3 linked regions of the Tribolium castaneum genome follow. The protein of the gene in region 3 binds, or shares a complex with, the protein of the main gene of each other region. Links are inferred from orthologs where the notes say so. Each region holds a gene or a part of one and is shown on either strand. Other genes may lie near its edges. The genes, in order: btz, Ref1 and eukaryotic initiation factor 4A-III.

What was found.
Region 1: the proteins of eukaryotic initiation factor 4A-III (region 3) and btz are in contact, whole or in part, in a crystal structure (PDB 2J0U), measured with the Homo sapiens proteins. The link is inferred for Tribolium castaneum from reciprocal best matches to the Homo sapiens genes EIF4A3 and CASC3. Residues at the interface, in NP_055555.1 of Homo sapiens: Thr178, Arg179, Lys198, Ile201, Tyr202, Tyr205, Arg206, Tyr207, Leu208, Pro209, Pro210, Thr212, Lys231, Phe232; in NP_031385.2 of Homo sapiens: Arg217, Trp218, Glu219, His220, Asp221, Lys222, Phe223, Glu225.
Region 2: eukaryotic initiation factor 4A-III (region 3) and Ref1 share a complex: the UniProt entries of both Homo sapiens proteins name them as parts of the ALYREF/THOC4-EJC-RNA complex. The link is inferred for Tribolium castaneum from reciprocal best matches to the Homo sapiens genes EIF4A3 and ALYREF.

What each region holds. Positions count from the first base shown.
Region 1 is NC_087396.1:15,135,109-15,140,413, reverse strand, and holds the start of btz (protein CASC3), read right to left. Parts: upstream 3,117-5,305; 5' UTR 3,038-3,116; coding exon 2,978-3,037; intron 2,824-2,977; coding exon 2,534-2,823; intron 2,482-2,533; coding exon 2,278-2,481; intron 2,220-2,277; coding exon 1,546-2,219; intron 1-1,545. Other genes in the region: uncharacterized protein Arl6, read left to right, coding at 4,537-4,578, 4,626-4,818, 4,872-4,949. UniProt on the Homo sapiens protein: Required for pre-mRNA splicing as component of the spliceosome. Core component of the splicing-dependent multiprotein exon junction complex (EJC) deposited at splice junctions on mRNAs.
Region 2 is NC_087395.1:19,979,099-19,983,405, forward strand, and holds Ref1 (THO complex subunit 4), read right to left. Parts: upstream 2,482-4,307; 5' UTR 2,370-2,481; coding exon 2,187-2,369; intron 2,082-2,186; coding exon 1,658-2,081; intron 1,583-1,657; coding exon 1,485-1,582; 3' UTR 1,242-1,484; downstream 1-1,241. UniProt on the Homo sapiens protein: Functions as an mRNA export adapter; component of the transcription/export (TREX) complex which is thought to couple mRNA transcription, processing and nuclear export, and specifically associates with spliced mRNA and not with unspliced pre-mRNA.
Region 3 is NC_087396.1:14,194,137-14,198,654, reverse strand, and holds eukaryotic initiation factor 4A-III, read right to left. Parts: upstream 2,766-4,518; 5' UTR 2,478-2,765; coding exon 2,330-2,477; intron 2,278-2,329; coding exon 1,942-2,277; intron 1,888-1,941; coding exon 1,157-1,887; 3' UTR 1,060-1,156; downstream 1-1,059. Other genes in the region: Sf3b2 (splicing factor 3B subunit 2), read left to right, coding at 1-240, 295-539, 587-884, 932-997. UniProt on the Homo sapiens protein: ATP-dependent RNA helicase. Involved in pre-mRNA splicing as component of the spliceosome. Core component of the splicing-dependent multiprotein exon junction complex (EJC) deposited at splice junctions on mRNAs.

The sequences.
Region 1 (5,305 bases), about 940 kb from region 3:
CTATGATGATTGGTTTTCTCCGTAATTTTAATGGCCGACCTCAAACGGCCCAATCAAAACGCTTACAACTTTCACTATTACGTGCCTAGTTTTACGCTAATTCATTAAATAGTATTAATGAATCTGTCTTTGTCCCCTCGCATGTTATTCTACCCCTTTATGAAATACTGGAGGATCTGCTAGATGAAAAGAGGCAAAATTGAAACACCGAGAGAAAATAAATAAGAAATATTAAATGAAAACTTTTTTATTTTAGTTACAAAAGAATTTGGCTAATACACACGTTAAAAATTATTGCGCATGCGCACGTTCTTTTAAATTTGACGGATGACATTTCGAAAATGATTTGAGAAAATCCAACAAATAAGACGAAAAATCTGTGGAAACTGTTTTGGGTAATTGAAAAATGCTAAAGGGGGTCATAAGGCACATAAAACACGTAATATCAATGTAGTGTTTTTCAGACTGTGCTGCTGATTTATGCAAAAGTGTTAAGAGCTCCCACACTGACTGCGTATGGTGACTGCACTCATAATTTCTAAATTAATCACACGTAAAAGTGGTAAGTGCTCATTTGTTCAACCAAAAAATGTTGGCGCGGTCCAGAAGTACCTATCAAAAAATGTTTCCTGTAAGTACCGTCGCGAGCAAAAAATCAAAGATCTTCAACATTTCATCTTCATAAACCTTCGTGTTAAAAACATTCGTCTCATTAAGCCTAAACCACATCGTTTTTTTTAATGCCGTTAATTAAGTGCCCGAAATTTTTTGTTCACTATACTGTACTGTAACACTTTCAAACTACCTATATCCTGTCTCTAGTTTTACAGTTGGGAAAAATTGATGTTAATTAAGGGCCAGGGGGCGCTTAGTAGGTACAGCGTGGCCTCAAACCACTGAGGGGTCTAATGATAATCCAAAAATGTTTTAGTCAGAGTTAAACTAATCAATTATAATATTTACTAGTTTAGATCCGAATTAAGGTCGTCCTGGACCCATCTACTTACCAGATGAAAATTATTTTTTATCAAATGTAATGTCCAAAGGAATATATTGCGAATTGGTTGCCTAAGAAAATATATTCAAGACTATAATTAAGAGGGCAAAAAAGGATTACATTTTAGCTATTTTCCGCAATGATTTACAGCCGTGTTAAGAAGCATTTTTGATATTATTTTACAGGGTACATTCTTTCACTCAGACTCTAGGGGAGAAAGTCTTTTAAAATGCGTTCACTGCTTTACTTAATTCAGAAAAAAATTCTGAAAACTAAAAAATCTCATCAAAATCTAATACTCAGAAAAAAATTTCCCATCAACAATAATAATCATTCTTTATTACTTAAAATCTACTTCATGGCCAAAAATATTTTCTTTTTCTTTTAACACTTACTGTTGTACTTTGTGTTTGTGTAAAAAAAAATCAAAAACCAAACAAAATCGACCAGTAACATTTAGCGCAAAATCATAACCATAACATAAATTATTTGTATTGTGCGTATACTTGAAAATAAATTTAAGTGATGATGTTATAATTTGAACCTACCATTTGAGTAGTAATTCGAGTGCTGCGAGAACGGCGGCGTTGCCGACTCTGGAAGCGACCTCTGTCTGATGGAACTGTACCGTTTGGAGCCCTTTTGTTCCGATTGGAGTCTTGGTGGGACGCTGCCTTGTCTCTGTCCCCCGTGTTTACCCCCTTTATGCACCCCATCCTGAACGTTCAATTTTGATAAATCCTTTTCTAGCTCTTGTATGTTGTTATTTTTATTTGTAAAATTTTGCGACTGGATAAAATCGTCTTTTTTCGAGGATTTCGGGACGACTTTTTGATCAGTTTTCATATTCCTAACTTGACGTGTTTTTGTAGTAAAACCCCTATAATCTGAATCCTTGATTTCGCGTTTTGGTTTAACCACACGGCCAGAACCGACGCGTTGCTGCATCCTGTTGGATTCTTGTGGTGGGACTGGCGGAGACTGCGGAGACTCGCATACTGAATTTTTCGTGTTACCGTTTGTTTCAGCTTGGTACTGGTCTGTTTTCTCTTCGTAATCTCTGCTATCCTGCGGGTCTTCTTGATTACTTGAGCGGTTTAGAGGCGGAAAGTCTTCGCCTTGATTGGGCTTTCTGAGGGGTTTCTTTTTACGAATAAGAGGTGGCGGTTTGTTGTAGGCATCTTCGTCTTCCCAGTTTCTTGTATACTTGTTAGGGCCACGTCTTTGGAAATGCATGCGCAACAAATTAAACCGATTTTTAACACAGTGAGGGAACTCACCCGTATCGTCTGCGCCTTCGAGCTCGAGGGGGACCTTCCTCGTTCCTAATATCGTACCCATAGATGGCCACAAGTTCAGCCCTGGACTTGGGGGCTTGCTCAGAGTCGTTAAAACGATCATGACTCCACCTTTCCTTCTTATCCTGCCATACTTTTTTCTTCTGTTCTTTTTCCTTCTCCAATTCTACATTATCAGCTGTTTGCCTAAACAATTAATCAGTCACACTACATGAACTGTGTAATTATTCGCACTCACTCGTCATCAGCTGTCCGGTCATCGTGTTCGTAAAAAGTGCCCCTTTTGGGTATGTACTGGGGGTTTTTCTTGTCCTCATCATCGTCCACCTTCCTGAGAGGCAAACTCTCCTGTCCGTCGCCAGATTCCCGCTCCAGCCCTACACTGCCTTCAGTTTCCGAATCAGTGTGCTCCCTGGAATTCCTCGACCTCGCTTTATCCTCCTCTTCATCACTGTAACTCCCTGCACTGTCATACTCCGACTCGTTAGGGGACTTGTGGCTCTCCTCAGCGTCAATTCGTGTCTTTTCCTGCAAAATCATTCTTAAACTGAGAAGAATTCACGCGAGATCGCCTCGGTTGTGCTCCACTTCGTTCTGAACTTGTGACCTGGTTTGTTAATTTTTTCTCAAATCTTTCTCTTTTCCGGAACGAAGGAGCAACGTAAGGAGCAATTGGGCTCACCTGTGATATGTTTTCCACCGTTTGGGGGGCTGTCGCTGGCACAGCAACGGTTTCTTCCATCTTTTTGTTGTTTTACAAATATCTTTATCTTGGCCGGATTGGCAAGATTCGATGGCCAGTGACAAATTCAAGACTTACGTCTCGTTTCTGGTCCTTTTCATGCTCAATGGAACGACGTGAAAGGAAAAGAAACAGAGAGAAACAAGTTGGTGCCAACTAGCAACTCCTTGTCACAAGGTTTCAGAGGTTAGGTTAAGCACAGAAGCACCAACTTTTGGTGGCAACTGAATAACTAGTTGCCTATACTTTTATAAGTAAAATTTAAATAAAAACGCCCTTGTTGATAAAATTGTCCAAAAGGCCGCAAACTAATATAAGCAGTCGATTGAAACGTCATCTATAGTTTTTTAGTTAAAATTTTTTTTATACAATTTGAGTTATATTAGTTGCATAGATCGCACCAGAGACAACTTGTGAAATTAAAAAAAATAAATTAAAATTCAAAAATTTTGACATAATTTAGCGTTAATCATGGTAAAACTTTATAGAAAATGTTCCAATAACCCACTTAACTGTTGTAGAAAAGCTCATTTCAAACTGTTCTTCACCTTATTTTGATGGTAGCAGTCCCATTCTTCGTGGTAATGGTCGCGCTTTACTTAGCGTTTGCCTTTGGGGCCTTTGGGCCTGCCTCGGAAAGATGTGACGCTCTATGCTGTTATTTAGCAAATAAAACTCTAAATATTTACGACAAACGCGATCGCGAATACATAGAATATGAATTTGAACTTGATGCCCTTAACAAAAGATCTATTAGTTCTCTTAGCCAAACCTTCACTCTTGCAAAGTGTAAGGAATCAGAGAATCCAGCAATTGCCGCTCTTCTCGGAAAGCGATATATTGATGCAAAAGAAGGATTTTTCAAATGTGCTGTTGGTGTTATTGCGCGAAACTGGGCCCTAGCTGTTGATGACTGTGTTGAAAATTTGGGCGTTCTGAGATTAGGGTCGTCATGGTGGTCTTTCGGGGGAGTGACAAAAAGGGTCAATAATGTCATTTTTTCTAATTTTGGTTTGGTTTTGCTACATTTTAATGCAACTGACGATAAGGCATTTGAAATTGCGAAACTTGATCGATTTGTACAGAGCTTTACTTGGGATAGGAGAGTGGATCTCCCGTTGGCACAAAGGCAAAAATTCAACAAATTGCTCAGTTTTGATGTTCGTGTTTATCAACACGAGGACTGTACGGGTTTCATCAAACAGAAGCATGTTTCTTGTTACATTTCAAGCAGGAACGAGTTTTGTGGAAAAAGGGTTAATGCTCCAATGATCGACCAAAGTAACAACTTGGTGGGAATGCATTTGGAGACTTTTTGCCCAAAAAATGAAAGTTATGCGATTGTTTTTTACATTGATGTTTATTCTTACAAAACCTGGATTTTGGACATGGTTAATAAATTTTGAACACACAAATTTCGTTTTTTTTAATCACCTAGTGACCGTTTCTTGAGTGACCACAAGTGCGTACCAAGTGACAAGCAAGTCAAATTTCGTAGAATGTTTTTGATACCACAAGACCCAAAAGGTGTTCGGCCCAAAGTAAAGCAACTTAAAAGATCTTAATTTGTCATTAGCAAGTTTTATAGACATGTTGGACGAAAAGATCTGCCTTTCAAACGGGTCTCATTTTGATACTTTTTGTGGCAGTTCCATTTTTCATAGTAATGGTTGCTCTGTACGGGCATTCTCTAACGGCCTGGAAGCAAACAGAAAAATGCTTTCGGTTGTGCACTTTGCTTCGCAATTGGAAAATGAAACGACAGCTTACAGATCCCACGGGTAAAAGAAAAATTTCTAATGTTTATTTCCAAAGTTTTCTAATTTCATAATAGATTATCCCAGTTTTCTTGAAGAGATAGCATCGAAAGACATAGAAGACATGGAAAGACGCAAACGGGATGCTGCGACTTGTAAGTGATAACAACCAAAGTTTTTCGAAAAATAATTAATAAGAAAGGAAAATTATGATAACTAATGCACCTTATATTTTTGAGTAACTCAATAGTCTTCAAAAAAAGCTTAATTAACGCCAAAACTATAGTAGAACCTCTTTAGAGACTGAAATTTACAGGGTACATTCTTCCACTTGGACTCTAGGAGAGAAAGTCTTTTAAAATGCGTTCAATGCTTTACTTAATTTAGAAAAAAATTCTGAAAACTGAAAAAATCTCAAAAATCTCTTTGAAAATTTTTTTCCATCATCAATAAGAATCATTCTTTATTACTAAAAGTCTACTTCATTGTCAAAAATATTTTATTTTTCTTT
Region 2 (4,307 bases), on a different chromosome or scaffold from region 3:
TGACTGATGTAATTTAAAATGTAGTTTTATACATAAATAAATAATTTTCTAATGAAATGACAAGTCACACTTGGAGCCTTATTTATTCCCATCAATACAAGAGGAAAAAGCCTAACACTAGTTGTAGTTGTAAAAAAACAACTGTATGTAATCCTCGTTTTTTAGTGATATTTCTTATAAAATGTTATGCTTGTTGCAACTAAATGCAAAACACTATTTTCATTATTTTTTATTGTTTTTAAGTTCCACACTTATACTTTTAGCAAACCATTTTTAATTATTTTATTCCGTCAATTGGTGGTTCGATATGTTCAAGCCAAAGCCTTCCGGCGACACGGAAAATACAGGAATATAAAAAGAGTTTTGCACCAACGTTATTTTATTATTGTTTTTTGTTCCACATATAGAAACAATTTGTGCTCAAGCACGTAAGATGTTAGAACTCATTTATTTTACACGAATAAACAATAAAGGTTTCAAAAATATTAAGTCTTTGGACATATTGTAGGCCACGTTTGGAATATATAGTGGTGTCGTGGTTTCCATTTTATTATAATCAGATTAATGCCCTAAGAACATGTAGATTTTGTTTATAAATATCTACACTAGATTAAATTCGGTAACTATGCGGAACAAGGATATTCACACAAAATACTAGGCGAATTTAAAAAAGTTGAATTATAGGAACTAAGAAAACTTAATGTAATTTAATTTTGATACAAAATTGTGAACATTACAAGCAGCCACAAGACAGCTCAGTTACTATAATTATTAATCTTACACTGTTGCTTAATAAATTATTATTTTCTTTTAGTATTCTTTATTGATGAAAATTACGTTGAGTGCACTCGCTTCGATTGGATGTACTTTTTGTAATTTGTTTTGTCGTATATTTAGTAATATAAACCCTAAACGCAAGTTCTCACGGACCCACTTTAGTTGTTCAATTAAAGATGAAAATTTTTAATGGAAATCATCGTAAAAAACTTGATCCACTTAAGACACAACAAAGATTCTGACGATGATTTTTGTTGAAGTTTTATTGTTCAACTTGAAATAAACGACTAAAATCGATCCGTGTCAACGTGCCTTTAGCGACAACTGTTACAAGATTTATTATGGTTTTAAATCAAGATTGAAGGCGATTAATTTTTTATACAACTCGGTCTTAACGTCATGTGATACATTTGGCTGATGCAGTTTTATGTATAAATAAAAAAAATTTCTAATGAAACGACAAGTCACACTTAATTCTTATTTATTCCTATCAATACAATTTACATTAACAAGAGAAAACAGCCTAACACTAGATTTAGTTGTGGAAAAAACGAACCGCATACGTAATCCTCGTACTTTAGTGGTTATTTTTTATAAAATGTAAGGCTCGATGTTACAATCAAAATACAAAATAAAAATACGAAAGAACTAAACACAAGTCACAAAAAGTGGCGCGTTGAGCGTCTCTGATATTAATAGCACTTATTTTATTTCATCTCCTTGGTGTAGGCGTCTAATTCAGCGTCGAGTTCTTCAGCTGTCGGTTGTTTCTTTTGATTTCTGAAACTTCGTCCTCCTCCACGACCTGGCAAACAAACATTTGTTTAGTTGAAAAATCCGGCTGTTGGAGGCGTCGCCGCCGCTGGTCAAGTAATTGTACCTCTGTTAGGTCGTCCCTTGGCAGGTGCAGCCCCTCTTCTGCTTTGGAACTTCCTCTCTCCCGTGGGCCTCCTGACCGGCGACGGAATCTCCGACGTGATGATTTGAATGTTCATGGCGCGTCCGTCGAGAGGCACTCCGTTGTACTGCTTCATGGCCTTAATAGCGTCGGTGCGCCTTTCGAAAATCACATCAGCGGTGCCGAGCGACCGCCCCGAGCGGTCATAGTGCACCGAGGCGCTCTTTAGCGGCCCAAACTCGGCGAACAATTCCTGAATATCCGAGTCGGAGACCGCAAAGTCTAAATTGCCCACCATGAGCTTAGTGGGGCCCACATTGGACTGCACAACGGCCCGAGCCGCGGCCACTTTACGCGGGCCGTAGCCCTCGAACAGATCGTGCTTCCAAGCACTGTTCACATCTCCCTAAACAAACATGGATGGGGGTAAATTCCGGCTCTCCGGCTGGATGCACGCTAGCCGCTTCCATCGCGGGGCAGCTTAAGTATAAACATAGTTAGAAACAATTACCCGGGTGTACTGGCGCGTTATTCCTCCGCGTCCTCGGCCCCTTTGGACGCCGCCGGCTCTTCGGAACGTGCCGCGTCTTGGCGCGCCACCCCCGCGGGTTCCGCCGCGACCTCCGCGACGGCCGCCGCGCCGGGGCTTGGATTTTATTATCTCATCTAAACTCATTTCAATTGTGTCGACCATTTTTACTGATTTTGTACGCTGATTTGACTGAGAAATTCACTTTTTCTACACCCGGCGGCAACGCACACAACCAACGACAAAATGGCGTACAAAATGAACGACAGACGCTGTGCGCATGCGCCACGTCACTGCGCTGTCGGCAACACAGGAACCTGCCCGGATTTTACCAAAAAAAAATACGACCGCATGTATTAGGCAATTTTTTGCATTTTCAGCATAATACAGAAACAAAGAATAAAAACTTATTTTTATGTTTATGAAATAGGTAACCTATTTACACCAATGTAAAAACACCGCTGTATTATTGGTTCCCTATACATTCAATTTTTTTCAAACTTTGTTCTACCAGTTTATGTAGGTAGGTATTTGTAAATGAAATTTTGTTCTTCTACCTAATGTATGTTAAAATATTGTCAATACAAAACAGATGTTTATTTATATTGACTCATTAACACATTTTAGTGTTTGAAGAATCTTTGGCAGAATTGAAATATTGTGTAATGTTAGACTTTCTTTATTTGATCCATTAAAAGTAAAAAAAATCAAATGTGAACACGTTTAAATTTAAAAGAAATTTAAAAAATGTAATAAAAAAATATTAATTTAATTTAAAAATTCCAACAAAACAAACACTCACGCGAAAACGTTTAAAGTTCTCGGGTGTATATTATGTAACTCGCATACGCTCGTTTGCTCAAATCACCGTCTGTTAGTCATATAAACTTTGGGAAAAGTACTCAAAAGACGCAATCCCAATTTCCTAGTTGATATTGCGTTTCTGATTAATTTTTAGACGCTGAAGTGAAAGTTTCAACCTCTAATATCCCAAAAAATAATAAAAGTTTGGATTAAGTAGTTAATTACACAGTAATTAGATGTCAAAACACAAAAAATATTTATTTTTAGTTAGTTAATAATTTGTTCATCAGTTAACACTTCTCTATTATATTAAATACTTACTATCAACCCCGACATATTTCTCAAAATTCTGTGAAAAGTTCGTTATGAACGGAAAACTAGTTCGTTTTATCCGTAAGTTCTCCACCACTGAAGTTTAATCCTGAATTAAATTTTATTTGGCTTTGTACAGTAACTAGTCCCTAAGACTATAAATTTAGTTAATTAATTATTATATTGATTTTTTTAATTAATTAATATTTATTGTAAGGAATTGTAGAATAATCCTGAAAAAAATCACATGCACAGAGAAAACTGTAAAGCACCAGATGATCCTAACATATTTTTGATTTTATAGTTTTATTGGGTTATATACAAAAATACATTCACTGAGATTAAAGATCTCAGCATAATAATTTAAAGGATCGGTTGAATCCTGAGAGGTTTTTTTAATTTTACTCGTGTTAATTTTAAACAGGTGCACAAACTGTCTTCTTCATTTATCATCATTATCAAATTGGAAGTCTGTTATCGCCGTTATTGTAAGTAGGTATACTCGAGGGCCACTGATACGTGTCAATGTCATGACTGGGTGAGTTTATCACAATGCACCAGTTAATAAAAATTGTTATATTTACGCTCTGATAGATGAATCTAGATAAAAAAAAATTGGAAACTGTTTAATCTTGCAGTTTGGAATTTTTTCTAATAACAAATATTATTTTACGCCGCTCCTAAAAATATCGAGTAGAGTACAGGTCAAAAACAATGTCCACTCATAAAATTCGAAAATTAATCGGATCAAGTGAGCGTGGGTTTGTTTATGCTCATTTATCATCTGCACGTTTACATGGCAGAAATTTATTGAAAAGTCGTTTCAGGATTAGTTCGTTTGAGGAACAATAGATGTCTCGTATCAATTAGTGTACTTAAGTTAATGTTACTTTATTATGACCACATTATGACTGAGTGTGGTTCTATTTCGTACGTGAACAGGGTCACGCCGAAAATGACGCAAGTTGTGTCGGCAATCAATAGCAG
Region 3 (4,518 bases):
GCCTTAGGAATGCCTGTGGGCCCTAACGCTAATAAAGTACCCCCACCATGGTTGATTGCAATGCAACGTTATGGTCCCCCACCCAGCTACCCCAACTTGAAAATTCCGGGATTAAATGCCCCCATCCCTGATGGTTGTGCCTTTGGGTACCATGCCGGTGGGTGGGGAAAACCACCGGTGGACGAAAATGGAAAACCATTGTACGGTGATGTGTTTGGAACAAATGTTACCAACATAGATGTAAGTATTTTATAATATTGTTTTATTGAATTTTGTTCAAATATCAATGTTTAGGACATTGGTGAGGACCCTTCCGTGGATCGCACCCTCTGGGGCGAGCTCGAGTCCGAATCAGAGGAGGAGGATGAGGAAGAGGAGGAAGACCAAGACAACCAACAAAACGCCGCTGACGAATCCGGTCTTGTTACTCCAGCTGAGGGCTTGGTGACACCTAGTGGTCTCACAAGCGTGCCAACTGGCATGGAAACACCCGAAGCTATAGAATTGAGGAAAAAGAAAATCGAGAGCGAAATGGAACAGTAAGAATTATTTTGTCTCTAGGGGGGTATTTTAAATTGTTTTGTAGGGGTGAAAACCCGATTTTGTATCATGTCATTCCCGAAAAACGCAATGAGAGAATAGGTGGTTCCATGATGGGGAGCAGCCACGTTTACGACATGTCTGCTGTGGGCGCAGCCCCTGCAACTAGTCGCAAACCAGGGGACAAGGAAGGAATGGTTGAGTTGGCTCTTGATCCGTCTGAGTTGGATATGGATAGCGATGCAATGGCGGTTCGTTACGAACAACAAATGAGGGAAAACCAGTCACAGCTGCAGAAGGAAGATCTCAGTGATATGTTAGCTGAGCACGTCGCCAAACAAAAGGTAACATATTGTGTAATTTGTTGATTTACCTAATTGTTTCGTTTTAGAATAAACGCAAGCGCCAACAACAGGACACAAAACAAACGAAAAAATACAAAGAATTCAAGTTTTAGTGCATTTTCTGGTATGAATATTTGTCATTCTGATTTTAATTTGGCGAGAGAAATATTAGGAGTAGGAAAAATCATAGTCGTTTATTACTTCCCATATTAATTAATTAATTATTACACAAACTTCTTACATAATATAAGGACATAAAAAATGTTATTCGTTTAAATTAAATCAGCGACATTCATCGGCATTTCGTCAATCTGTGTGGAATAATACTGCTCAATATCCCGCAAAATCCTGATATCGTCCGACTTGACGAAATTAATCGCAACACCCTTTCTACCAAACCTGCCAGATCGCCCAATACGGTGAATGTACAACTCACGGTTGTTCGGCAAATCGTAATTAATGACCAAACTGACTTGCTGGACGTCGATACCTCTCGCCCACACATCGGTCGTGATAAGTACACGACTCTGTCCCGACCTGAACTCCTTCATAATATTATCTCTCTCCTTCTGGGGCATATCACCGTGCATGGAACTCACGGTGAAATTGTTTTCGCGCATTTTTTCAGTCAACCAATCGACTTTGCGTTTAGTGTTGCAAAAGATAACAGCTTGCGTGATGGTTAAAGTATCGTACAAGTCACAAAGTGTGTCAAATTTCCACTCCTCACGCTCAACCGCGACGAAAAATTGCTTGATGCCTTCAAGAGTTAATTCATCACGTTTTACCAAAATACGGATCGGGTCCGTCATGAACTTCGACGTGATCTCCAAAATCTCGTGGGGCAAAGTCGCAGAAATCAACACGACTTGAGTGGAGGGCGGCAGGAACCTGTAAACGTCGTAGATTTGCTCCTTGAAGCCTTTGTTTAACATTTCGTCGGCTTCGTCCAAAACCAGCATTTTGACGGACCTGGTCCTAAGGGCGCGCCGTCTGATCATGTCTGAAAATTAAGTTTTTTGGTAGGGGAAATTATTTATAAGATAATTATAAGTACCGTAAACTCTTCCAGGTGTTCCACTAACAACATGTTGCCCATAATCCAGCTTCCTGATATCCTCTCCCAGATTGGTCCCACCAATGCAGGCGTGACACTGCACGTTCATAAAGTCCCCCAAAGCCAGGATAACTTTCTGGATTTGCACGGCCAACTCCCTCGTTGGCGACAAGCAAAGTACTTGGGTTTCCCGCGTTTGCAAGTCAAGCGACTGCAAAATAGCGATCGAGAATGTGGCCGTTTTGCCGGTACCTGACTGGGCTTGAGCGATAACATCTCGGCCCTTTATTATCGGCTTGATAGCCCTCTGTTGGATAGCTGATGGTTTCTCAAAACCTGAAAGCAATGACCTCAATCCGAGCCGCACTGACCCACATTTTCCTATTACCATATGCAAAGACACCGCGAAGGAGCTCCTCCTTCAGGTGCATATTCTTAAATTGCTCGATGACTTCCACATCTTCGCTGGTTTCGAACTCAACGTTCGACAAGTCTTCGAAAGCCGCATTGCGGTTTGAAGGTTTTGCGACAGCCATTGCCTCCGTCAGAAATTAGAACGTGTGTTAAAGTAAAGTTTAGATGATTTAATTGAATGTCCAGTTCACTGAAGCACAACACTTGGGGCACCTGTCTTTCACAAAGGTGTTTGCATTTTTGGGGCCACTTGCACGTCCCCAACTGGTTTGTTTGTAGTATTGAGAGAAATAAAACACTTATTTTTCACCTTTACTAACTTTTAAACACTTTTTCGCCCGTTTAATGTTGTTTGCACGCGAGTCGCTACGTCTTTTAGCGTTTTTTGACATTTGACAAAAATATGGCGTCCACTTAATAGTAGGCAATATACAAGATTGTCTTGTATAATTGGTTGCCTGTGCATACTGTTAAAAAAATACAATTTATAGGTTACTGTAGCAACCCATAGATGGCACACAATTTTTTTCTAGATTACTGTAAACATGTACTTTGACCTACCATACTCAGATGTCGCCGCTTACGTTTTTTGGTTTTAATTTTTTTGTGTAATCTAAAAAATGTAATAAAGATCTAGTAAAAATTTTATAGAATTTGTAATTTACAAAATGCGAAATATCTTCGTTCTCGTACAAGATAGAGGGGTGGTTTTGCCCTTTTGAAAACCCAACCGCCCCGTAGTATTTTTCCTGGGCTATCGAATAGGCTAGGTCCCGTTCCCGTATCTCCATCAGGAACCGAAATAGCATTGCACATTTTTTAATCGGGAATCGAAGTACATGACGTAATAGTGCTCCAAAAGTTACGTGTGCATGCAAAATTTGAAGTTGCTACGACAACAGGAAGTGCCTCAAAATTAACTCGTAAAATATGATTCAAAATAAATCGCATTAAATAAAGTCTGTGAACAAACAAGCTGTAGTTTTTTATTAGAATTTTTATTCAACTTGCTTTGTTTGTCTTTCGGAGTTATAAATATTTTGAACTTAAATTTAAGACACTTCCTGTTATCGTAGCAACTTGAAATTTTGCATGCACACATAACTTTTGGAGCACTATTACGTAATGTACTTCGGTTGTTGATTTAAAGATGTGCAATGCTATCTCGGTTCCTGATGGAGATACGGGAACGGGACCTATTCCATTCGATAGCCCAGGAAAAATACTACGGGGCGGTAGGGTTTTCAAAAGGGCAGAACCACCCCTCTATCTCCTACAGGAACGGAGATATTTAAGATTTTGTGAATTACAAGATTTTCTTCAATTTTTATAAAAATTTTGTAAACAACCTAAAATTTTCTTTCACATTTCAAAATTTTTATAGAAATTTAAGGAAATCTTGTATTTCACAAAATGCGAAATATCTTCGTTCCTGTAGGAGATAGAGGGGTGGTTTTGCCCTTTTGAAAACCCTACCGCCCCGTAGTATTTTTCCTGGGCTATCGAATAGGCTAGGTCCTGTTCCCGTATCTCCATCAGGAACCGAAATAGCATTGCACATTTTTTAATCGAGAATCGAAGTACATGACGTAATAGGGCTCCAAAAGTTACGTGGACATGCAAAATTTCAAGTTGTTACGACAACAGGAAGTCTCCCAAATTTAAGTTCAAAATATTTATAAATCCGGAAGAAAGTTCAATAAAAACTGCTAATAAAAAACTAGATTTTTTGTTAAAAGCTTTTAAATAATGTGATTTATTTGGAATCATATGTTACGAGTTAATTTTGAAACACTTCCTGTTATCGTAGCAACTTGAAATTCTGCATTCACACGTAACTTTTGAGGCACTATTACGTGATGTACTCCGATTACCGATTTAAAAATGTGCAATGCTATTGCGGTTTCTGATAGAGATACAGGAACGAGACCTATTCCATTTGATAGCGCAGGAAAAATACTACGGGGCGGTAGGGGCTTTAAAAGGGCAGAACCACCCCTCTATCTTCTACAGGAACGAAGATATTACGCATTTTGTAAATCACAAATTTTATAAAATTTTTAATATATCTTTATTAAATTTTTTAGATTACATAAAAAAATTAAAAACAAAAAAAACGTAAGCGGCGACATCTAAGTATGGTATGTCAAAGTACATGTTTAC